Linked DNA regions of Caenorhabditis elegans. The protein of the gene in region 1 interacts with the protein of each later gene in a pairwise test. Each region holds a gene or a part of one and is shown on either strand. Other genes may lie near its edges. The genes, in order: daf-12, lin-42 and din-1.

What was found.
Region 2: the proteins of daf-12 (region 1) and lin-42 interact in a two-hybrid assay, tested with the Caenorhabditis elegans proteins (one study listed by BioGRID).
Region 3: the proteins of daf-12 (region 1) and din-1 interact in a two-hybrid assay, tested with the Caenorhabditis elegans proteins (one study listed by BioGRID).

What each region holds. Positions count from the first base shown.
Region 1 is NC_003284.9:10,639,736-10,648,235, forward strand, and holds the start of daf-12 (Nuclear hormone receptor family member daf-12), read left to right. Parts: upstream 1-4,704; coding exon 4,705-4,815; intron 4,816-6,102; coding exon 6,103-6,162; intron 6,163-8,500. UniProt on the Caenorhabditis elegans protein: Nuclear receptor which binds directly to response elements in target gene promoters. Activity is modulated by binding of steroid hormone ligands that include dafachronic acids.
Region 2 is NC_003280.10:1,247,679-1,256,178, reverse strand, and holds the start of lin-42 (PAS domain-containing protein), read left to right. Parts: upstream 1-3,819; coding exon 3,820-3,970; intron 3,971-8,500. Other genes in the region: clec-119 (C-type LECtin), read right to left, coding at 1-85, 166-168. UniProt on the Caenorhabditis elegans protein: Transcriptional repressor which interacts with the promoter region of target genes. Has a specific role in developmental timing where it regulates temporal expression of a number of miRNAs and mRNAs.
Region 3 is NC_003280.10:11,629,184-11,637,683, forward strand, and holds the start of din-1 (Daf-12-interacting protein 1), read right to left. Parts: upstream 4,404-8,500; coding exon 4,297-4,403; intron 4,249-4,296; coding exon 4,081-4,248; intron 4,032-4,080; coding exon 3,834-4,031; intron 3,091-3,833; coding exon 2,821-3,090; intron 2,745-2,820; coding exon 2,474-2,744; intron 1,620-2,473; coding exon 1,405-1,619; intron 232-1,404; coding exon 1-231.

The DNA.
Region 1 (8,500 bases):
CGAAACGCAGTGGAAAAAGTGCTCCAGTTTTTAGGCGAGTTGATTAGAATTACCCTGTATTCCTTGTAAACCAGGATGATAACGAGACATTGAAGAACACCATTTCAACGTCTCAAGTCAAGATAGGCTTTTCATTGCTTGAAATGTTCATGATTTACTTTTTGCGAAACTGACAAAAGCGTTAGGAATTTCACTAATAGATTTTCAAAATTCTAATAATGGAATTGTTTTTATTGTAAAGCTACTAAAGTAGTGTTTGAAATATTTGTATCTCAAAACGGTCAAAAAAACAAATATTAAAATGAGATCTCTTGAAAATTTTTTTATAAATGTTTAATAGCAACTTAAAATTTTTAATAATAAGAGCTCATTTTAGCTAACATCACCACATCTACTAATTTTTACTGTGTGCAAGAGGTCTCAAGTTTATTTTTATTAAAAAACTTCTTTATTTCGAATCTAGAAATATTTTCAGTCACAGAGTGCACTAATTTGGTAAAGTCTTCTGCTCCCATCTTAAAGTACAACACTGAGAAGTCGGCAAAATTAGAGCTTATGATGAAATCAGCAATTCTAACTCAACATTTTGAACTGTTTTGAGATTTTTATAGATTTTTTAAGAATTTTAATTATGAAATTCGGTCTTTTTGAGCTATGTCTTTAAAAGAATTACAAATTCTGCTACTATACCAGTTTACATTTCATTTACATTGAAAAAGTTCACAAAAGGGAACCTGCAAAAGTGCAAAATTCTATTTGACCTTTATGTGGTTATGGTTGCATATGTATTCTGGGATTAATTAATTGGTATATCTGTCCTTGAAAAATTAGCATTCTCATGTCTTGTATGTATTTTATTTATTCAATGACCGCAAAAAATTTTAAGAAAGTGTCTGAATGGCTCGTGTGGCTTTTGTAAAACACACCTTCGCTTATAGACTTTCAATTTTGAATTTCCTGGCAGCGCTTCGTCATTCTTTCCTTTTTCCTTTTCTCTCGTTTTCCACTTTGAAAACGAAACGCGTTTACCTCTTACATATTCGCACTCTTTCTCTCTCTACAGGGCGCTTGCCTTTCGGTATTGTTTGTTGCGAAACACAACATGTCTGGTCTGTTCCGCACCTCCGCGACAGATAATGTTGCCGTTTTCATCCGCAAAAAATCCATCCTTGGATTGTAATATCTTCTACACCTTCTACAGTCTCATCCAAATAATTTTTTCATGATTTGTGATTCTCTTTTCACGTCCTTTTTTCTCACGTCACGTTATCAATAATTATTTTATTCTGTTCGGCTTTACGTTTAGGTTTTTTGGTTGTTTGAAGTATATTTTGAAAAAAAAAACCATTCGAAACTCAATGAATTTCAATGAAGGTCAGAAAATGTTAGCTTTTGTTAAAAATGTTACAAAGGCAGAAATTTGAGAGAACGCAGGCGAGTAGAACAAAATGGAGAAGGAAGGAACGAAATAATTCACTTTAACGAAACTGAACTTTTGGCAAAAAAAAAGACAGCATACAAACACATAGGAAAAGATAAACATAGTTGAATGTGTAATGTTAAACTTTGCAATTGACCCTCACTCTTTTTATGTAACCATGCTTGGCAATAAAATCAAGAAAAATTGATGTTTGGAAATAAATTGTAACTGAAAATTTATATATTTTTGCAGTCGATTTCTACATCTGTCCAGAATTTTATTGCAATTTGAAAATCGAAAAGTATTTCTAGACAGTTCTGAATTTGAGAAAAAAATCTCGCAAAGAAAGAAATTTCGTTGTGTCAATTTTTTTTTGTTGCTTTTTTGTTCAAAAAAAGTTGATTGGTGTCTTTATTAGTATTTGTCTTCATTTATATTTTATTGCTGATGAATATCTAATTCTGTTACGTTCTCATGATTTCTTGTGTTTAATCTTTCATTTCCAAAGACTACGAAAAATTAAAAGATTGAAGATTCGGCTCAAAATTAATAATGCACCAAAGAACGCGTTTTTTTAGTTGAAACTGAAATAAATGAGGAAATTTTTCTTAAGGGTTACTAAACAAGAAAGGTCATGCATTCATTGGGACACAATTACTGGGCCAGTTACTTTCTTTTTCTTCTCATTCATAGGTTATTATTCGGAAAATCAACGAATTAAAAAAAAGTTTATAAAATAAAACTGTTAAAATATGAAAAAAAATTGACTGTTAGAATTTGAAGAAAAATCACAGAATGCAATGAAGGTCGATTTCTCGGCAGTTTCAAAGAAGGTTATCAATGATATTCTGTGCACTCTTCTACCTCCTCGCGTCTTTGTTTGCATTTACTCATTTTCCATGCGCTCACACTTTTTTCTTTCAATCCAGGTTTCCTGTACTAGTTGCTTGTTGTCTTTCAACTTTTCACCCTCTTTGCCCTCTTTGCCCTCTTCTATTAGTGCATTCTCTTTTCTTTTTTTGCACATTCGGTTTTGATGTGATGTACCCTAGTATTCTGAGAGCTTCGGCGCTCGTGACTGCCCTTCAAACACTTTTTGTGCAGTGTCCATATTGAATCCCAAGGGAAGATTGTTTGGTTTACTCCCACGGCTACCATCGGATTTATTTTTGGTAAATGCCATTTGAAACTTATTCACAAAGGAGTAGAATCACTCTTAAATTCGATTTGAAATGTTGTGCAGTCAAGTCGCAATCGGAGAACCGAACGCTGCACTGTTTATTCAGTGCTCAATAAATGTTCGCAGTGCAGTGGTTCTCGTTTTTCGTTTCGTTTCTCTCACTCTTCCTATCTTTTTTACTTAGTTTCCCTATCCGCGACAGTCTGATCCTTTGGTTTTTATTGCCCGTTTAGAACTTATTTTAATTAATTATCCTCTTTATTTTCAATGTTTTGTTTTGTTTGAACTATTAATGACCATTACTCTTTCTAAAGTGCACCCTATTGCGTATTTTAAAAATTTTTTCTTGCAACATACCCACCCTAATGCTCGTTTCGCCTTCCCACATTTTTTCCACCATTTCTGCGTCTCATTTTCTTGCGTGGGCATCCGCGGTCCCTCTTTGCCCGGCGCCTCTTGGATTTTGCTTTTTCTTTTTTTCCCTGGATGTTGCGTCTAGTTTTATCTGAAATGACCTTTAGGCACATTGCTAATCGTATTTCATTTTTTGGTTCCTCAAATTATTTTTTTTGAAAATAATTTTATTTGTCTGATAAGTGATCTTAAATGTAACTGATATTTTTTTAAAGTTGGATTCAAAATGAAAACATTTTCTAAAAATGGTTTTTTCAATTTAATTTTATTTAGTATTTCAGTACTTTCCTTTTTCCATTAATCAGTTGAATAGGAGATGTAATTTTTATTAAGTTTAATTTTACATTTTGTATTAAACTTATTCAAAAATAATTAATTTTTTTCCCTAAGTTAGTCAAAAATATTTTTTAAAACTTTTTTAATACTTTTGAGATAAATTTTTAGATTTTTTATTTCACTTTCGTGATTGTTCCATTTTGCAACATTATTCTGCATCAAAATACATTTTGAAAACATTGAAAGTTCTTCAAATGCCGCAACTCGATTTTATTTTAATTTCATCAATTTTCTTGGCCGAATATCAAATTTCTATCTGAAAATTAACTCAATCTTTTTGTTTTTGACTCAGAATTGAGTGCACCACAACTTATTTTTCAATTTCTTACATTCTCTAAAACCTTTTTTTGTTCGTTCCGTGCTGTTTTATTTCAATATTTCACCAGAAATGCATATTCTTCTCAGTAGGTGCAGTTTCATGTGTTGAGTGAATGAGACCACGACATTTTTTACAATTGTTCCGCTTTTTCCCTCCCCATATGCCATCTCAAATCCAAATTTCAAATGCCTTCCTCTCCAGCTTCTCATCTTTCCAATTTAGCAATTTTTCACGTCAAAATGAAACGAATCAGATTTTTGGTGCTAAGCATTAGGATTTGATGAAACAAACACACTATAATCAGAAGTGACAGATTTTCAATTAAATTTTTAGAGATAAATACATAATTTATCAATTTATGCGTGCCAGCAAAAAGGCAGAAATAGTATGAACAGCAGAGTCTACTTGAGACTAAATCTTAGTTCTACTCATCAACCAAGCGGATGAAAACATGATAATGAAAATGTACTTTTATTTCAGTTTAAATTGTAGATATCCACGCACCAGTTAACCCAGTTATCTGGTTTGTTTGTTTTTTTTTTGCTGGTCGTCAAGAACAACTTTCGATGTAGATAACTTTACCGAGCTTCATTCATCAAAAAACATTTTTTTCCCAATTTTTCGTTACAAGTTATAACTGTATATAATATCTAATCAAAAAGAAAAACTTATTTTATAGAGAAAGTTTTGACGAGATCTGTTTTGCCTAATCGAGATGTTTCAATTTTACAAAACTTTGCTCGCAATCAGTAGATATGTTTAAAATTAGCAGTAGCAAAATTTTTTTTTTTCGACTGTTCCACGCAAAAAAAAAAATCACAGCAGAAAAATGACAAAGTATTCACAAATAACGACCTCCCGTCCCCGTTCTTGTGTCTCTTCCGATCTTTTCTTTTGTGGCTGTTGATCACCAGTGTGTACTTTGGAAACTTATTCCTTGCTATTCCATGTTGCTCAAAATCTTGCTTTACTTGCTTTACAAAAACATAATGAAAATTTTTCAGCGCACATTTCGGCGCAACGGGCGCCAATTAAATGGGCACAAATGGAGGAGTCATTGCGGAACAGTCAATGGAAATCGAAACAAATGAAAACCCAGATAAGGTAGAGGAGCCCGTCGTGAGAAGGAAACGAGTAACCCGCAGGGTAAGTGATTTCTAAAATCTCACGGCTTTAAAAAATTGTATACCGAGAAGAGCCAGTACAAACTGTGTAAAGCAATCAAAAATGTGAAAATTAGTATAAATCGGCAAAAAGGTGAACAAATTGGATATTTACAAGTTATTTATAACAAACTTAAAGTTGAAACCGTATTTATAATTTTTTTCTCATCAGCTAAACAGAAGACCAAAGTATCAATAAAAGCTTGTGGGAATAGATGCAGAATAGTCTTGTAGAAATGACCTTTTTTGCAAAATATATTGCATCATTTTCACAAGAATGTGTTAACATTTATGTTTAAACCTCAGTTATTTTGTAGAAGTTTCGAACAAATGGTATTGAAATTTTCTTAGAGTTGATACTCATCAATTTTATTTAGTCTTAACTTACAAAGCCACTTCAAGCCTATCTACTGGTGTCAGTAAAAAAACACAAAATATGTAGTAACGGCATATCATGGTAGAACAATTTTCAAAATGTTCTCAATTTCATATTTGGTTTGAAAACTGAAAAATTCGACCATTCTGGTACAATCGGCATTATGAAACAATGTCCTCTCTGCAGCTATTTCCCCTTTTCCACTCAAAAATGTGTCGGAAATAAAATCTTACTTTCTAAAGTATTCGTAGAGCTTAAACGTTTAACTGTTATAAGTAACACATAAATATGTCTGCTTCTTTCTCAAAGAACAGCACTGATTTTAGAACGTTGACATGTCATCTTCGGCGGTCTGTGTCTAAATGTTCGATTTGTAGCGATAAGCGTTAGAGTGGCCAATATTTTCTGAGAACAAAAAGGAGTCATATTCTTATCATCTCTTTTCGTGCGTTTTCTATCTTTTGTGTAACCGTACCCTCCCACCACTTGTTAGCAGCAACATTTATTCTCTCTGAATTTCTACATCAAAAGTGCAATTTGGGGGAGTTGAAAACTGTTCGACCCTCCCAGCGCCGAAATCGACGGCTATCTTAACGGGGCGCCGAGATGAAGTAGGCAAAACAGATCATTGCAACAACACATACAATCGCCATCTATACTCTCACAGTGCCATGTATAGTAACTCTTTCCACAATTTCCACAAACTTCCATTCTATCCAACTCCATATTACTTTTCTGCTGTTTCTTACGAAACTCCTATTCAAACGTCAAAAACTCCGGGTTCAGCAAGTGTAATTGATGTTGAAAAGATTGACGACGATGATAAATCGTCAAGCCCAGCAAGTGTAATTAAAAATATCATAAATAATATTTAAATAATTTTTTTTATTTCAGCGCCACAGGCGGATACACAGCAAGAATAACTGCTTGACACCTCCAAACAGCGATGACGACGTTAGTTTGTTATTATGTTTTTTCAATCAGGTTAGATTATTATGACTTGACTCAACCATTGCACCAAGATGAAACTTTTTGTTGTTTTTGTGGTTGGCGGTAGTATTCTATAACTTTAAATTGCTAAACGATTTTCTTTTCTTCAATCAAGAATCTTATTGGATTTGAATTATTGGAGCTACATATATTTTCAGTTCATTGAATTTAATGCTCTATATTTTTGTGTGTATTCAGAAAACATGGTGTTAACAAATGAATATAATAACACTCTAAAGGACATTTAGTTATCAAACTTTAATTCAGTTTTAGAAATTTGTAATAAGCTTCTATTATAAGTTCAAAAAGTTCCATTCTGATCCGATCCTTCTTCTTATTGATTGTTTCTCATCAATTAGTCTTCATCTCTTTTTCGAAGTTCGGCGTATGTTTTGTGCAGCGTTAAACTCACGCCATTTTGCTGACGGGGAATTGTTTAGAAGTGAGTGGAGAGGAAAGAAGAACTGATGTTCTTGAGTGTGATGTGCTCTCAACATTCGAGAAAATGATGAGAGAAATTTCATGTGTTGAAGATACAAAATGCGCTCAAGATAATGGTGGACTTTTACTTCTACATCTAAACGCTTTTTCAATGAAACCTGTACTGGAAAAATTCGAAAGGAAAAATTCTGGAAAAGTCGTTCAGCTTTTACGATACCTGAAATAAATGAACTCATAGTGAGCTCTAGTTGAAATTATTCGGACCAACTAGGTCTGAAACAAAGAAGCTGTATTCTTGCCAACAACGATCAAAGTTTAAAGTCCAGTGTCATCATCGTCATCTTCAATATCTCAATTTTCATCTTCAAACAATCAACCTATCCACAACCTGTTCGGAACGCCAAACTACGGTAATCAGCGCCGGTGTTTTGATAAAGCGATAAGCATAAGTGCTCACACTTACTTCTTACTTACAATTAAATTCGCTTCCTTTTTGGGCCGTTCCAAGGTCAAACGGTGAAACACACGCACCGTACATATACACAGGACGCACTGAAGTTTTTGCTACTGCTGCCTGTTGTGTCGTCGTTCGGCCCCGATTTTTTTAAGTGTGTGTGTTCCATATTACCGCAAAAACTTGGGACCACGCCTCTCACAACACCTACTTTCTCAATTATTCCGAAAACAACAATGAAGTGCTGATGATACCATTCTACTATATACTTCCGGACGTCTATACTTCATTCCGAACACAAAAATCAAAAAATGACACTCGAAGCAAATGTGGCGGCACTTTCGAAATTCATGTCATTCGACAAAATGCTTGCAGCATTACGGGTGAGTAAACGTGAAGATTATTCAAATTGCCTTGAACAATCCAGAACAAGTAACCGTTTTTGACTCATTATTGTAACACTTTTTCTCAATCTTAAATGTTCAAACGTTCAAGTGTTCTTTTAGTTTGCAATTCCCACAAGTTTGGACATGTAGTTGTAAAATGTCAGTCACGCTTTTTCAAAATTATTCAATTAGTGCTCACGAGAATCAGTGAGCACCACCACATGATCTCCTTACACTCATCTCCTTTATTTTTTGATTATCTTTTTTTTTTTGTTTGTTTTCAGTGTATCACTAAAATAGTTTAGTTTTTTAGAATAATGTACAGTTTATAAGAAGTTCCAATATTCTTTGAATCGTTGACTTTGAGTGATTTTGACAAGTTAGAGAGGATGAGATGCGAACGTTGTTTGCCTCGACCTACATATAGGTTATTGTAAGTAGCGCGCTAGGCCTTTTCAAGTTTTCGGAACATGGAACACAGAGAGACAGGAACTCTATTCCGAAATGTTGCGATCGACCTTGTTTTTTCCTTCTCTCGCGCCGTCGCAGTAGTCGTCGGCGGCGCAATCGGAACCAAATCGTAGTGGCCTGGGGGAGAGCGCAGGCGGCGACCGTGAAGGAGGCGACCGTGGTGGTGGTAGTGGCGTTTAAAATGAAATGAAAAATACTATGCGTTCTTAACGCGAACATGACGACAACTTCGATGTGAAGGTACTTGAGAACGAGAAAAGGAGTAGAGAAAGGGAATGAAACTGACCGCAGTTCTATCATCACCCAGGCGCGCCCTTCATCTTTCAAGACAATCTCTAAACTAGCGGTAGCAGAGGAAAAGAATATGGGGTTTGACTTATTTCTTTTTCGCAATTTATGGTATTCGGTAAATAAGAAGATAAGACCATATAAAGAATTACGGTGGACACAGATTAAGATGGCTGGAAAATAGCTTTATAGACTGAAATATTTTGACAACACCAATTTACGATGGGAAAAAAACTGTCTTCTTTATAAAATTCAAAACTTG
Region 2 (8,500 bases), on another chromosome or scaffold:
TGCTGTGAAGTTCTTGAAATTGACTAAAAGTCAATGTCGTTGAGTGTGCTCTTGGAATGAGCAGGGCGATGAAGAAGGCAAGAAGCTGGAAAATTTAACGTTTCAGGGTTGGAAGTCACCTCTACAGTACCCCATACCGTACCCTTACAAAAGACCCCAACTCACCATTTTCTGCTTTTTTGATTGTTTATAGCAACTGCCACTATAGAAGTTCTCTTCAATTGCAAAAATAGTAGAAACTGAATTTTCTGATCAAAAACGTTTCTTTTATGCACATTTCATCTTGATAAGGGCTTTATTCCACATTTACACGTTTTTATTATTTTATAAAGTTGAGGTTTTTCAAAATATTGAAAATTAGAAATTAGTTTTAAAAAAAATTACTTCACGTGTTTTGAATTTGCCTTCAAAATTTTGCCCTGTACCCGTTCCCCCTTCTAGCACCCCGTTCACCTTCAAAATACTTGGTTTAGTTGTGGTGGGCAAAGCAAAACATTCAGGCAAAAATCCTGCGTCTCCATGCTTTTACCTGATCTCTCCTCCAGCCGGTCAATTTGAAAATGTTGTTGTTTTGAACACGCAAACATTCGTCCAAAAGCTTCTCCCCCATCAAGGACACTCGGAATTTGAATTTTTCGGCGGAGAAGATTGGGTACTGTAGGTGTGATGTTGGGTGTTGGATCCAGGATCTAAGTGGGGGGTACTGTAGTTTTAGAATTGGAGGGATACTGTAGTTTGTGGTATGTTTTAAGAGGTTTTAATTTAACATGTAATTAAAATTTAATTAACGTAGAGTTTTGATACTGTTTTGATACAGTTTTACTGTAGTTTTTGGACTGGGTTACTTTAGCACTCTAACAAGATTACTGTAGTTTTGTTAGGATTACTGTAGATGACAAGATTACTGTAGTTTCAAAGTTGGGATCACTGTAGTTTTTTTTAAAAACACAATTACTGTGTTTCTCAAAATGGAACTTCAGAAGTTTTCTGGCAGGACTATTGTAGTTTTAAAAGTAGGATTCCTGTAACTTTTTAAAAAATAATGTTACTTTAGCTGCGGGTAGGGGTGGCAAGAATACGACCTGCGACCTAGCGGTACTATGTTTTTTTTGCAAATTTTTTTTGCGGATAATTTGTCATTTTTCCTTTTATATGAGAGTCTACTGAATTTAAAAAAAAACTATCAGGATTCGAAACTTTTGATAGGTTAACAACTCGTAAGTTTTTAGTTTTTCTTTAAAGATTACATTGACAAAATTCGGACCTAGCTAAAGTTGAAAATCGGCTTCTAGTGGGTGCGTACCATGAAATATAAATGCTCATCATATTATACAATTTATTCATCAATCACCTTTTCCTCATATTCTCCTTTACTCTCATAATCTCAAATTTTCTTTGAAGGGAGATACATTTAGCTGCCAACACATCGCCACCCCTCCATGAAAAGACACATGTTTACGACCTAATGGTCTATATATTCAAATATTAGCTCTTTCAAGAAGGCATTTACACTTACGATGCGTACTGATGTACTGTTATGATGATCCTACCCTGTGGGAATCCTGTTTGTATTGATCTTTACAACCCCCTATGTACAACGATACACATTGTTTTTTGGGGACCAACCATCTTGATTAATCTTTTTCGTTTCGATTTCTTGCCGATTTAATTCTAATTTTTTTAAAAACACAATTACTGTTTTTTTGTTAGGATTACTGTAGCTTTTTTGACAGAATTATTGTTGTTTTTTGAGAAAGTTACTGTAGCTTTTGTAATGGAATTTAAGAAGTTTTCTGGCAGGATTACTGTATTTTCAAATGTTGAATTTATGTAACCTTTATGAGAAACCAATCTTACTGTAACTGCGGTAAGACTACCGTCAAATTAATCTAAGGCAAGATTACTGTAGGTTCTAGATCTAGGATCTAAGGGGGTAATTTAGTTTTCACAGGACCCTGATTCCATAAGCTTTGGCTACTGTACCTAGCTCAACTTCCATAATAAACAGTACTGCAAACAAATTCTGTACAAACACCGATTGCTAGAAAAAAACGGGCACCTAAACCGTGTGAATTTCTAGCGACGGCGGCGCTCCCCACGAGTGGCACTGACTGGTAGTGGTGGGCTTCACTCCGGAATTGAAATAAAATTTTGAAATTGAAAAGGACATAAAACAACAAGGAACGGTGATTTGCGGAACGGAAACACTATTTTTTTTTGAAATAATATTTTTTTGTCGGCCTGTATCTCACTTGATTTTTGAGATGTCAAAAATATTTTAACTACCAAATTGTAGATCACTGTTTGCCGCGTATTTTATCAGTTGACAATTTGTCGCAAAAATCTACCACCGCCAAGATATAAGCCTTCAAACTTACACGGTGCATTTCTATTAGAGTCCCTAATTTCTCAAGATTTTGTTGTTGTTTTCGGACAGTTTCCTGCTACTTCCCAGACACATAAATGTTTCAATTGGCACCTGGCACCGGTTAGAAAAAACCGGGGAAAACAACATTGTAGACAACCTCCGGGTGGTGAAAGTAAACATTACCTGTTTGCAAAAAATTTCGAAAATTTGCAAGGAGTAAGTTTCTAGAAAGTGAAAATTTAAGTAAAAGAGTTATGCTTAGACTTAGGTCGTCGGCTTAGTCTTAGATTTAGGTTTAGGCATAGGCATAGGCATAGGCATAGGCATAGGCATAGGCATAGGCATAGGCATAGGCATAGGCATAGGCATAGGCATAGGCATAGGCATAGGCATAGGCATAGGAATAGGCATAGGCATAGGCATAGGCATAGGCATAGGCATAGGCATAGGCATAGGCATAGGCATAGGCATAGGCATAGGCATAGGCATAGGCATAGGCATAGGCATAGGCATAGGCATAGGCATAGGCATAGGCATAGGCATAGGCATAGGCATAGGCATAGGCATAGGCATAGACATAGGCATAGGCATAGGCATAGACATAGACATAGGCATAGGCATAGGCATAGGCATAGGCATAGGCATAGGCATAGGCATAGGCATAGGCATAGGCATAGGCATAGGCATAGGCATAGGCACAGGCATAGGCATAGGCATAGGCATTGGCATAGGCAAAGGCAAAGGCATAGGCATAGGCATAGGAATAGGCATAGGCATAGGCATAGGAATAGGAATAGGCATAGGCATAGGCACAGGCATAGGCATAGGCATAGGGCATAGGCATAGGCTTAGGCTTAGATTTAGGCTTAGGCTCAGATTTCTGTAGGAAGACCCTTCTATTATAGTCCTGCTCTCTGTGAACTTTTTCTTGTCACCCACCTACACCACTTTATATACACATTTACTCACCCAAACAAGATGAGTCAAACATTGCTCAAATAGGGGAGCATAGGGTGTACTACTACAAGCCACGCCCCCACCTGGTTTCTTGGCGCCAGGTAGAGTGGGAAGGAAAGGTAGCGTACTCATTTGGATGAGTTTGGCATAGTTTCTTGGCAGTTTTTTTGGGTTTTTAGCTAATTACGTTTGGGCCTAAGATGGGGCCTAGGCTTTGGCTTAGGCTTATGTCTAGGCTTAGGATAAAGCTTAGGCTCAGGCTTAGGCTTAGGCGTAAGTTCAGGCCTAGATTTCGATATAGATTCTGATATTAGAATTAGATTTAGGCTTATTTTTAATCTCATTCATAGCCGCAACTCTGGGCTGAGGTTTAGGCTTAGGCTTAGGCTTCGGCTTAGATTTAGTCTTAGGCTTAGTCTTAGGCCGAATTTTTCTCCGCTTTCATAACTATCCGCCTTTTACCCAATTTACAGCTCACGTTTCAGGCTTCCGACATGGGTATCCGATCACCAAAGCATACTACCGTTGAGTACTACAAAATTGCGCCAAAATTACGCGTAATTGAGAGGATTTTGGTGAAACAGGTCACAGTGGACACCCGAGGAAATGTGCTCCATATCATTGAGTATTTCGAGCTGGAAGGAGGTAAGATGTAGGCCCAGGTTTAGGCTTGGGCTTTCGGCCTTGGCTCAAGCTTCTTAGGCTCAGGCCTACCTAGATTTTAACGTTAGTTTTTTGTTCCATTGGCTTAAAAATTTCAAATTTACTACTGTCAGCCCCGTCAATTCTCATGCAAATCATGGTGCATCGACACCAAGAGACACCATTTTTATTATCAACTCTATTGATATGCAAACTAAGTAATAGTGTTGGCTCCCACATATTAAAACGGATGGTGTCTCAAATAGAGACACATGGCGCCATATTTAAATTTTGGAAAATTTCATTTTTTTGGAATTTTCTGTGAGCTAAACTATAAAACTATTAGCTCAGTCGCTACTCACCCAATTCGCCAACAATTTTGGAACGCAAAGATACCGCCATCTCCACACTTATAATTAGTCATTTAGAGCAAAACGGCGGGGCTCGTAAAACAAGAGACATAACATGGGCGGTACGGTTTATTACAGGGTAATCAAAAAAAAAATATTGAGCTGAACTTGGAAGACGTACCAAGTTTTTGAGTCAATTTTTTCTAGCTGGGGGAAAAATTTGAAATTTAGATTTTGGTACCTATATTAGAAATTTTTTTTGTAAAAATTTGGTACCACTTAGTTTAGCTGCCAAATTTTATGTCTAGGTACCTAGTTTTAAAAAAATTTGGAAATTTGCTAGTTCAATTTTTATACCTACTAGGTCTAGTACCTAAAATTTATATTTTACCAATATTAATTTCAAATTGTCAGGCCTACTAAATCGCGAAGCCTAAATTTGGAACATTTTAGAAAAGTTTGCAGTTTTCAGTGCAAAGTTTGATCTGGCATAGGCATAGGCATAGGCATAGGCATAGGCATAGACATAGGCATAGGCATAGGCATAGACATAGGCATAGGCATAGACATAGGCATAGGCATAGGCATAGGAATAGACATAGGCATAGGCATAGGCATAGGCATAGACATAGGCATAGGCATAGGCATAGGCATAGGCATAGGCATAGGCATAGGCATAGGCATAGGCATAGGCAGAGGCATAGGCATAGGCATAGGCATAGGCATAGACATAGGCATAGGCATAGGCATAGGCATAGGCATAGGCATAGGCATAGGCATAGGCATAGGCATAGGCATAGGCATAGGCATAGGCATAGGCAGAGGCATAGGCATAGGCATAGGCATAGGCATAGGCATAGACATAGGCATAGGCATAGGCATAGGCATAGGCATAGGCATAGGCATAGGCATAGGCATAGGCATAGGCATAGGCATAGGCATAGGCATAGGCATAGGCATAGGCATAGGCATAGGCATAGGCATAGGCATAGGCATAGGCATAGGCATAGGCATAGACATAGGCATAGGCATAGGCATAGGAATAGACATAGGCATAGGCATAGGCATAGGCATAGACATAGGCATAGGCATAGGCATAGGCATAGGCATAGGCATAGGCATAGGCATAGGCATAGGCAGAGGCATAGGCATAGGCATAGGCATAGGCATAGACATAGGCATAGGCATAGGCATAGGCATAGGCATAGGCATAGGCATAGGCATAGGCATAGGCATAGGCATAGGCATAGGCATAGGCTTTGGCTTAGGCATAGGCATAGGTATGGGCATAGGTATAGGCATAGGCATAGGAATAGGCATAGGCATAGGCATAGGCATAGGCTTTGGCTTAGGCATAGGCATAGGTATGGGCATAGGTATAGGCATAGGCATAGGTATAGGCATAGGCATGGGCATTGGCATAGGCATATCATCTAGGTACCCAATTTTTCAAAAAGTCTTGCAGTTTTAACAGTTTCAAAGTATCCAATTTTTTGACATTTTCAAAAACTTACCAACTAGTATTATAAGTTAGAGTCTAGGTTCCCGAATTTATAAAAATTTTGGAATTTATAAAGTGCATTTTGAACCTATTTTTTAAATTAAAAATTGTGTTTCACACTAGTTTAACCTTTATATTTTTAAATTTTAGAATTTTGAAAAAAAATTGAACAATTATTGATCTGGGTACATATTTTCTGATTTCAATTTACATATGAATGCCCAAAAAAACTTTGGTAAGGTGTCTCCTGTTACACTAATTTGCATGAAAATTGTGAGCACTGAACCAACAAATGTATTTTTACGGCAATTTCTCAGCTTCTACTTTGCTATAAGGAAAATGGAACTTGGCCCAGTGCCAAATAAATTTTTGAACATTACACTTGACCAGTAGACTATATAGTTCCACTGTACCACCACACAATACAAATACTTTTTGTTTGTAGTAGTAATTTGTGTTTTTAAAAACTAGATTTTTACATATTTTTAAACAAAAAACAGAGACGCAGGTACGGGGAAGAGGGTACTATAATACTACCAATTTTACTACAAAAATTGGCAAGTTGTGATGTCATTTTTTGATTTTTTTTACCTACAAAGTTGGTAAAAAAATTGGTTTAAAAATTTTTATTTTGTTGTAAATTTTCGTTATTATTAAAAACTTTGAGTTTTTTAATAGATATCAATAAATGCCAAAAATATGTCAAAAAAGTCGAAATTGAAGCTTTGTAGGTCTAGGTACCTACAACTTGGGATATTTTTGATTTTACCAATTGATAATAGAAGTACTTAGGAACCCAAACCGTCAATAACTATTGAACATCATTATAGCTAAAGCCTAGTAGGCTTAGTAGGCCTAGGTGCCTGCAGATTTACAAGAACAGTGTAAAAAGGTATATACTAGGTCTAAGTATTTATTTTGACATTTTTTTACTTAAAAAACAGAAAAATCAACAAAAATGTTATTAGTTAAGATATAAAAAACCTAGAACAATGTGCAATTGAAGTTGGAATTTGACCAATTTTTGGACTAATTTTTACAGAAAATGTTTTTAAAAAATAGTTATAAGTTGCTACACTATTAAATTTAAGTACCTATAATTCTTTTAATTTTGGCATTTGCCAAAATATATCCAGATTACCACAATATGTAACAATATACAAAAAAAATTGTATCTACTAGCTTATCAATATTCAAAACCTACTAGGTAGGCCTAGGTACCTAGAAGAAAGCAAATTATACCCCACTAGTATTTTCAACTTTTTGATTTTGCCATTAACAAATTTTAATATCAATTGACACTAGGTCTAGGCACCTAGACTTATTGCCTAACTGCTCTAAGTACCTATTTTATTTTATTATTAATTTTGGCACTTGCCAATTTATCGATCAATTTCATATATGGCATGGGCACCTAGATAACCGAATTTTCAATAACCTTTGAAACAATTTTTTAGCATTTACTAGGTCCGTGAAACCTATGTATCACCTAGTTTTTCACCCTAAAAACCAATAACTTCTCTCCAAAATCTCACTTTTCACCCCCTGCGCCATTCCATTTGTCACCCCCCCTCTCTCAACTTCTACTACTAATCCGGATTTGAGAGAAAAGGGGAACATGTGTTTAATTGTCCAGTTTGACCAGGTCATCTCATCCAACACCTCGCTCCTTTGTTCTTTCACTTTCTCAGGATTTCCAAAAAAAAACGGAAATTAATCGCTTCGGGGGCTCTATGGTACGGACGGTACGGTACCAATTGCCCGAAAAATTATATTTTGAAACTTCAAATTTGCAAATCTCAAGTTATATAATAAGTAGATACCTACTAGGTCTAGGTGCTAATTTTTTGAAAATTCGAATTTTTCGGTAACAAAATTGCCAAAACATAAATACTAAATGATGTAATAAAAAATTAATTTAATCTATTGAAATTCTCCAAAAAATTTACCAAATTGAGAATTTGAGATAATTCAGGAAATTTACAAAATTTTGAAAAATATACCAATAATTTTTAATTTGATATTTAAAATTTAAGTTTCATAAATTTACGATTTGGTTAAAAAATGACCAACTTAACTATTAAGTACCTCAAATTCTATAAGAATTAGAAAATAAAATAAAATATAAAAAAACGGCAGCTAATTTTCAAGCTCCTACTAGATTTGAATCTAATTTGTATTTGGAAATTACCAAATTTACTATTGAGAACTAGCTCTAGGTACTTTAAATTGCCAATTTTGCAATTTATTCATTAAGTTGACACTAGGTCTAGATCCCGTTTACAAAAGTTTCAGAAATTTGAACGTTATTAACTTATATGTAAAGTTGGTGCTAGGTCTGCCTACCCTACTATTAGAATTTCCAGAAAATTGTCACAATTATCACAAGTTAATCTTGCATTGACCAATTTATAAATCAAATTGGCATTTACCAACTTTTATATTAAGTTTACACTAGGTCTAGGTGCCCTTTTCTTTTGGAAATTTCAAAGTTTGGTATTCATATGTCAAGTTGGCCCTAGGTATAGGTTCAAATGAAAAAAATTACCAATTTATTTATTATGTGGGTATTAGGTTCAGATACCTATATTGGTCAGTTTTTTTTCAATCTTCCAAAGTAAAAAAATTCTGAACTAAAATTAAATTGGAACTAGGTTTTAGGTTCTGTAGGGAAAATTAAAA
Region 3 (8,500 bases), on another chromosome or scaffold:
TCCTCCTGATTTGTATGATGCTCTACAGATGATCGCGTTTGTAACGGATCGTGAAGATTCTGTCGGTCTCTTGACGAAGATGGCGAACTCGAACCTTGATCATTTTCAGATTTACTTGTAGGTGACGATGATCTCGCAGCGACCTCAATGTTCTCCTTTTTTCGATTGATAAAATAAAGATTGAATCGATCCGAGCAAAAGTCGACGGCCACCTTGTGTTCGCCAAAGTTGCTGAAAATGAAATAATTGAATTTTAGTCTTACAGTGAATGGTGAGAATGGTAATTGGATTGACTTTGAACAAAATGAATAAATAAAAAAATTACGGGGGAAGGAAAGGACAACGAGCTGTACGAAATGCGTGAGAATACTTAAATTTCAATTTTGCACGACTGTATTCCTCCTATTAGTTCCTACTAATTTTGCCCTTCCTACTTGAACAGTTCTTATCTCGGCTGTGTTTGGTTTTATCAAAATTTTTTAAACTATGAAAATATAGAAAATTCTTTGAAAAATATTTTTACCGTTAAAAATTTTTTGATAAAGCAAAAAATAACCGAGATAACAACTATCAAAATCGAGCAAAGGTGGTGCAAGGCAGACCCTAACGCTGTACTTTAAAAAGCCATATCTTGGTTGCTTTTCAAGATATCAACAAAAAATAAATTACAAAATTATAGACAAAGAATTGAAAAATATTTTTTCAGTTGATAATTTTTTATCAAAACTAATGAGAACCGAGAAATAAGTAAAAGACCTAATAAGTAAGATTTTTCAAATTTTGAAATATCAATCTTGCTCACCACTTGAGTATCTCACAAATAAAATGTGTACAAGGTTCCGAACATCTCCGACGATCTCTCACTTTGGTCATCAATTAAAAGTTAGATTCAAATAGCTGGGTGGGGGAACACTTCTCTCTCTTTTTTGCGCCCAGGCGCACGCACACCACACTACGACTGAATGGGTACCCCTAGCGTCCAGCACGACAGGCCACGCCTCCCCTATGGCGCCATAAAAGGATACGCAGATGGTTAGACAATGGTCACAATGGGTAAGCGGGGCGCACACGAGAAAGCCAGAAACGGGTCCGTTTCAATGGTTAAGTAGTACTCATTTAGTCACTAGTTGTTGTCTAATTGCTTCTTTAAAGGCTCACTCATTTTTTTTAGAACTTCCTAAGCATTAAAACACTATATATCTTTAATCAATTATTTCTCTATCTCAAAAGATAATAATATTTCACATATTCATGCTCATGTGACCAAAATCATCATAATTTTCTTCTCAGCCTTTTTGTTCTCCGAACATAGAGATAAAAGGGAGTTGCTATGAGACACACATTACGAAACGTTTTTACAAAAAAATATAATTTTAAAATCAAAATTTGTTTACGAAAACTCACTTTCGTCCAACCAGCTTCATCCGTTTTAATAGCAAATTCGCTGGCTCCATATCGTCAAGCGTAATTACCGCACTTCGATCCCACCAGTCAACACAAATATCCACAATTCTGTCGGATAAGCTGCGTATTATCAGCATTATCTCTTCATTTGTACATTCGATCGGTAAGTAGAATATAATTATTCGATGCGATGGACGAGATTGATATGACATCGGCTGAAAGAAATAATATGAAATTGGAAGTCAAAGAAAGAAAAAAATTTAGAAATTAGTCAGCACTTTGCTATATTATTTTGAAGGATTATACCTCGGTTCATCTTGAACTTATCAAAAAAAATTAACTACAAATATATAGAAAAAGAAATAAAAAATATATTGTCAGTTGATAATTTTTGTATAGGACAAACGACAGCAAAGATATAAGCTGTCAAAGTTGGACAATGGGGGGGGGGGGGGGGGGGGGGAGCTTATCAAAAATATATTTCAAAGAGAAAGTTCGTGCAAAACATTTCTCTATTTTTAGAAAGTAGCCGAACAATTTTTGTTAAAGCCAAAAAAAAGCAATGGAGAGTAAAATCTAAAATACTATAGATTAATGTTCTTGCGTTGTAAAATAGAAGGAAACAATGAAAACAAGGAAGTACTGTAGCTGGAAAGCTTCGGTCGTGGCGAGACCAGGAAAACTATTTTTGGGGGCTTTTGTAATAGAGTAAAAATGAGAAAAAGGAAATTATAAGAGGTGTGCACTTTTTTCTGGTTTCTAGTGGGTACGGAATACCTAATGTATCTAAAGGTCGATCAATAAAATTTTTCTTGCGAACTGCATCAATTTGGGAAAAAGGTCATTCTAATATTTCATCAAAACAAAAATGCGATAAAAAACTGTCTAAAGGACGGTGATATTGTGTTACAAAAAAGACAATGATGACAGGATAGTGTCGAAGATGTGTGTGTAATACTCTCGAGTACGTAGAGATAGTGGAGGGTATAGAGAAATTGGATGGGAACTAATGAAATCGGTGCACATTGTGCTAAAAACTGACAACAATTAGGTTCGGGCGCAAACTCACTTTTGGAATGTTCGTATCTTGTAACGCTTTCTGAGCGTCGTCGATATTCGTAAACTGAACAACTGCGAATGCCTTATTATCATTCGACTTCACCATATCAACGTCAATGACTTGACCATAAGACTCAAATCTTCGACGATAATGATCAGGTGAGTGACGATCCAAATGAGGCACGTGTACCGAGCAACTCGCCTTCAGCAAATGATCACCTTTCAGTTTAGGTATTGCGTATGATGTCGACGGATGGCATTGAGGATGCTTCTGTTCCCCACTGGAAAATATAAAATATATTGATTTTATTGATTTTATTATTTTTACAAAAATTAATTTTGACCATAAAAACCAACCTTGTCGGGTAATAGACTCGAAACTTTGGCGGCCTGCCAAGTATTAAACTTTTATCAGCTTTCAGGCCGTCCGTATCAAGCCTGTAATAATGGACGCGTGCTTTTTTCCAGCCAGGTTCGGTAGTCGACTCCAGTTGAATATCGATTGGTACGCCTGACCGTTTTGAGTGCTTTTTCACAAGTTCAAAAAGGTCCCGCTCTGGTGTCGATCCGGACTGTATTTCGTAGACTACACAGGCCGTGGATTCTGATGGAAATTCTGGGATGGGCCTGAAAAAATGGAAAGTTTTGATGAATAGATAAATATACATAAGCTATTACTCAGACGGGAAAGTTTACGATTTGGTCTCACCACGGCAAGTTTTTATTAAATTCTAAAAAGTGTGCGCTTTTAAAGATTACTGTAATTTTAAACTTTCCCCTGATTTTTTTCAAATTTGAGGTTTTTTAAAAGTCAATACACAATTTTTAATTAAAAGAAAAAATAAGAAAACTGCTAAAAATTTTGCAAAAGACGCACACACTTCCGCATTTAACAAAAAAATGTCGTGCCGAGACCGGGTACCGTACTTTTGGCTCACAAAACGCAAAATTTCACATATGGGTAATATATTTTTGGCTCTGTGCCAACAATTAAAAGGAAACGACGACTGACAGTTCTACAACAAACTACGGTCCACCGTTTAGCTAAGAATTAACTAGGAAAGTTAGAGGAGATGGATAAAACCGAGACAGAGAGATAAAAAGACATTGTGGGAGGTAAATCTCTGTGAACTGCGAAAAAAAATTAACCGAGAAAAAAGGGACAGAGAGTAAAAAAGTCTGGTGCGCGCGTCCCGCTCGGGGTCGTCTTCGTCTTCCCAAGCAGCCGTCTTGGCTGGAGGGTCAACAATCTCCCGCTCTCACACCACCTCTTACCCTGTCTCAGTATCTCACCCACTATGCTCTTCTTCTCTGCGTCTTTCACACGCAGAAAGATCTCTATATAGTTTTCTTCGTTTTCCGTGTCTTACCAATATTCTCGAGAATGCCTTTGCTGGGATTGCACCGAGAGATGTGGGCCTCCTCTTCTAGCTTCCATCTGATTCCTGAAACTGGGCGACTTCACTTCAGCGCCTCGTGTATCGCCATACCTTTGCGGTGAAAGCTCAGCGTTTCGTGGCGACGAACTTTGACCGGACGAAGGTGTCGATGACATGGAAGCCATACTACTAAAATACAAGGGTTTCCAGAATAGTTAAAGATCAGAGGGGGACTCACGAGTTCTGTGTGGGTTCCGGAATATACGCGGAGATCTTGTACTCAATTGAATCTTCGAACTGTGGTTTTGTACTGCGTGCTCGCAAGGCTCCACGAGCGTCCATATAGCTGACGAGGACGATTTCTGGGTTGCCGTGTTGCCGGACCAAACGCTGAATTTCGCCAAATCTGAATTTAATATTTAATTTTAAAAATTCGTTAAAAAAAAAGATATACTTTGTGAAATGCAACTGTAGTCGATCATCTGGTAATGTGCTTGGAAGTCCAGATATTGCCACATGGCGGGATTCCTTTACAGTATTTGTAGAAGGTACTTGAACCATCTCAACATTGCAAACCGCGGATTCTATAAAATCAAAAATTCAACATTTATAAATTCATGACACAAAGGGGAGCAAAAAGAAAGCCAAATATACAATTATATTATGTTAAATGCGAGTGGCTATTAAAAATTCCAAAGTCACAGAATCAAAATCCACCAGATGAAAAACGGAGATAAATTGTGATACTTGTATGTGATTCATCGTGTTTTAATAAGTTCAGACTACATATTTCTATTTCCAATCTATTTCCAGAAAAAGGTTTACGAAATTTGTTTACAGCGTGTTTCCGACACACATTTTGATCTCAAAGGTTATTTTCGATTAACAGCTCTCTAAACCCAATTCGGGGGAATTTAGTGCTTGTGAAACGTAAAATGGTACAAATGTGATGGGAACTGTGCAAGAGAGCCTATAGCGGTGTGGGAATTGGAAGAGCTGAGACACGGAGGGGTGCGGGGAACGGCAGAAAAAAACGGGTACAGCAACCGATAGAACGGTGGCGAAGACGATGGACACGTCGGATTTGAGTGGACGGGTGTCTGGGTGGGCGAAGGGGCATTGGCGGGAGGTCGTCGGCCCCCCTCTTCTCCCCGAATCCACTCACAGACGCTCACAACCACACTCACAAGCAACATGACGGTCGCGCTCGCACAACAGAAAAGACCCCCGTCGCGTTGTCATTCACTCGCATCGAATCGCTCGCACAAAACGTGCCCGGCAATCGTCGCACACTGCTCGTCTGTGTCTCCAATGTCTTCACACACGTCTCGTGTCTCCTTTATGTGTCTTGCACCATAATATATCGCATAAGTCTAACCATGCCCTCCTGCCAGCCGACTATCTCTCGGGTTTTGTCGCTGCTGCGATATAGCCTCGCCTCCCCGTTTTCATCATCTTTTCCCTCCAAAACAGCGGCGGCCCCCCGACACACATACACAGACAGCATACGCGCTTTAGTCGTGTTTCGTGTCGTCCTCTTCTCGTTCAGCTTCGAATATACCCAACCAAAAACGCATCTGTCCTCATCCTTTTTCATCGGAAAACTGAAGCCGTAGGCTTCTCACTTAATTTAAAAAAAAAGAGCTCTTCGTTTTGAATTTATCTATATTCGAATTTTAAATTTTAAATTTCAATTTTTTCCAGGCAAAATTTGGTAGAATTGGGACGGAGTTATAGGCCGAATTTGCCATACATTTTCGATATTGTGTACGCCCGTCTGCAGTCTTGTTGTCCTAGTCCCAGTAGTCCCAGTTCTACGTCATAATTTTCCAATTTCAGTTTTCAACTTTCTGTTTTGTTGAGATTTAATTTTGACGGGGCGACAAATACAATAATTAATGCTCTGCTTTTATATGATATGCGCGTTCGTATGTCTTCGAGCTCTTCCTCTCTGAGCTTCTCAGGCGATTGAGAGGCTTGAGTCTCCCCACCCGAACAAGACGACTAGGTCGGGGAGTGAGTGTTTTGATTTGACGACGGCCCGGCCCGAGGGGCTGCTGCTGCTGACGGCGAAGAGCGAGAGAAGGGGGAAGCGAAACCGCTCTATGGTCGACAAATCGATGCGCATACCGATGGATTGGATGAGCGGCGGAGAGCGCAGAGACTCGCGAGACGGGTCGGCGCGGACTGCAAATGTTAGTTGTACGAGTGGCGGTGGGGTGTGGTGAGTGAGTGTTTGCGACGGGGGGCAACCACACACACTCACATACTCACATACACCCCTCCGTTTTCATACACTCACACTATGACACGTCACTCTAGCTCCTATGCTTTTGCCTCTTTCAACCGAAAAAAAAACATATTTTGTTTCCACCTGTTCTTTTTTATGTTCACGCCTGACTTGGGTAGTTCTTCTTCGCATGTATTCCAAATCTAAAAGTTACGAAATATGTTTGTGAGAGAGATAGAAAACGCGCTCTCATGTGATACATGTAAATGAATGCGACTTGCTTGTTAAGATTAGATTCGTTATGGGGGTTGGGGGACTGAATTGGTTTCGTTTTAAAATTATTATGTTAAAGGTAAAAGGAAGCAGAGGACGCCTTACTATTTGACATCTGAAAATTGCAAGTTTTCTTCCTAATAGTAAACTTAGTGTGACGACACTTTGGAGTTTGTCAATTAAAGTTTAACTTTCTTGTGATTTTTCAAGATGTCGAATTTTGTTCAAAACTACCCAGACGCTTCAATTCACTTTCTTTGTTCTATTGACTCCATTTATCACCTCCACGTCACCACTTCTTCTTTACACATTGTCTGCGTCTTTGCGTTGAATCATCAATTGTATTATTGCAAAAAAGATGGAGAGAGAGTGTGAGAGAGAAGTCAGCTCAACAAAACAGGTGCATTCTCTCACTCTCTCGTTGACTCTCTCTCTCTCTCAGTCTCTTTTCAATGAGACCAACGATCAATAGAAAGTCTGACGGCTACTCTCTCTCTCTCTCTCTTTACCTTTTACCATCTGCTGCTACCGCGTAGAGAGGAAGCGACACAGACTGACCTTGACAGGAGGATATCGAATAAAGAAGGGGGCTAGAGAAAGAGACCACCCCGAAAGTGAACCCCTTGAACAATACGTCGTTAATTGCAACGGTCTAGACGGAGAGAATTGACATTTGTTCTTTTTCAATACCAATTTGTAAACTTTTCAAAATGTTCAAAGAATACGAAAATATATTTAAATTTGTACAAACTTTATTTTTCTGAAGTTTTAGAATTTCCAGCTAGGTTTTTTTTCAGATTTTAAAGGTACTAAGATACTAAGCTTAGGTTTCTTAGAAACTAAGTTGCAGATACTAAGATCCTAGGATACTATTATACTAAGTTTCAACTATTAAGATACTATGTTTAAAATACTAAAATACTAATGTTAAGAATCCAATTTTAAGATACAAAGCTTAAGATATTAATATACTAAGTTTAAAATGCCAAGTTTAATTCACTAGATATTTAGTTTTAGATACCAACTTTAATATAATAATATTTTTAACAACTTTAAGAACGTAAGAATTATCTTTATTGTACATGTTATTGATGAAAGCAGTCATCATATCATTCATAGAATCCATTTCTGCCTGACAAGCTTCCTACGTCTTCAAGCATGCAAATTTCAATTTCGTCCACACCCATCTTCAATATTTTCCGCTCTCCTGCATGTATCGCGCCCTCGAAATGAATCTCTCGTAAAATGCACTTTTTCTTTTTCTTATCGGCGGGCGGTGGTTCGTTCTTCTTTGTCCTCCTATGCGGAGAGCCCGTGATTATATTGAATACGTAATCACTGGTTACAGAACCCCGTCAACAAGAGAAGGGATTTTCTATGACTGCATTTTGATGTTTTTCCTCACCAACACCACTTTCCTATTGCTTCTCTACCTCTCGGTCTATCTATTTTTTCCCAACAGCAGCTCTTTTTCATGTAAAACACCGGGAACTATGATACAGATGTCGGGGGATCACAATAGATGATTCTTTATTGTTTTATTTCAGGACAAAGGGGCATTTGAATTTTTTCAGATTATTTTCGTCATTTCCCCCACACTACATCAATTACCATTGCATCACAATCTTCTCTTTAGGTAATGATGCCGGCACATGGAGCTCTCCGTAATTGCAGGTCGTTATGTGGATAATTGATTCGTCGAATAATCGCTATTACTCTTATTATTACGAGATCTTCTGAACGAAAAAAAATTGAGCGGATTACGTGGAAAATTCTTGAGCTTTTCTTGAGCTAATCTTTATCAAAATAAATATTCTGCCCACAGAATAGGGCTATAGTAAAATCTATTTTAGAGCATTATTTTTATTATGGTATTGCCTCGAGAAAAATGTTATGTAATATACAAATGGTTATGGGTTCCTGAAAGGTACATGCCACATATTGTGTAAACTTGGAATACACGGTAAACGTATGTAATTTTGTTAATTTGAATAAAGCACGTTATCGGATTAAACACCAATGAACAAAACTTGGGAGAAGGAAGGGAAATGTTAGAAAATCGGAAGTTCAGTGAAAAGAAATTCACAGGTTTTTTTTTAAGTTTTGGAATATCCTTGGTATTATTGAATCAAGAGGAAAACCATATACCGTATTT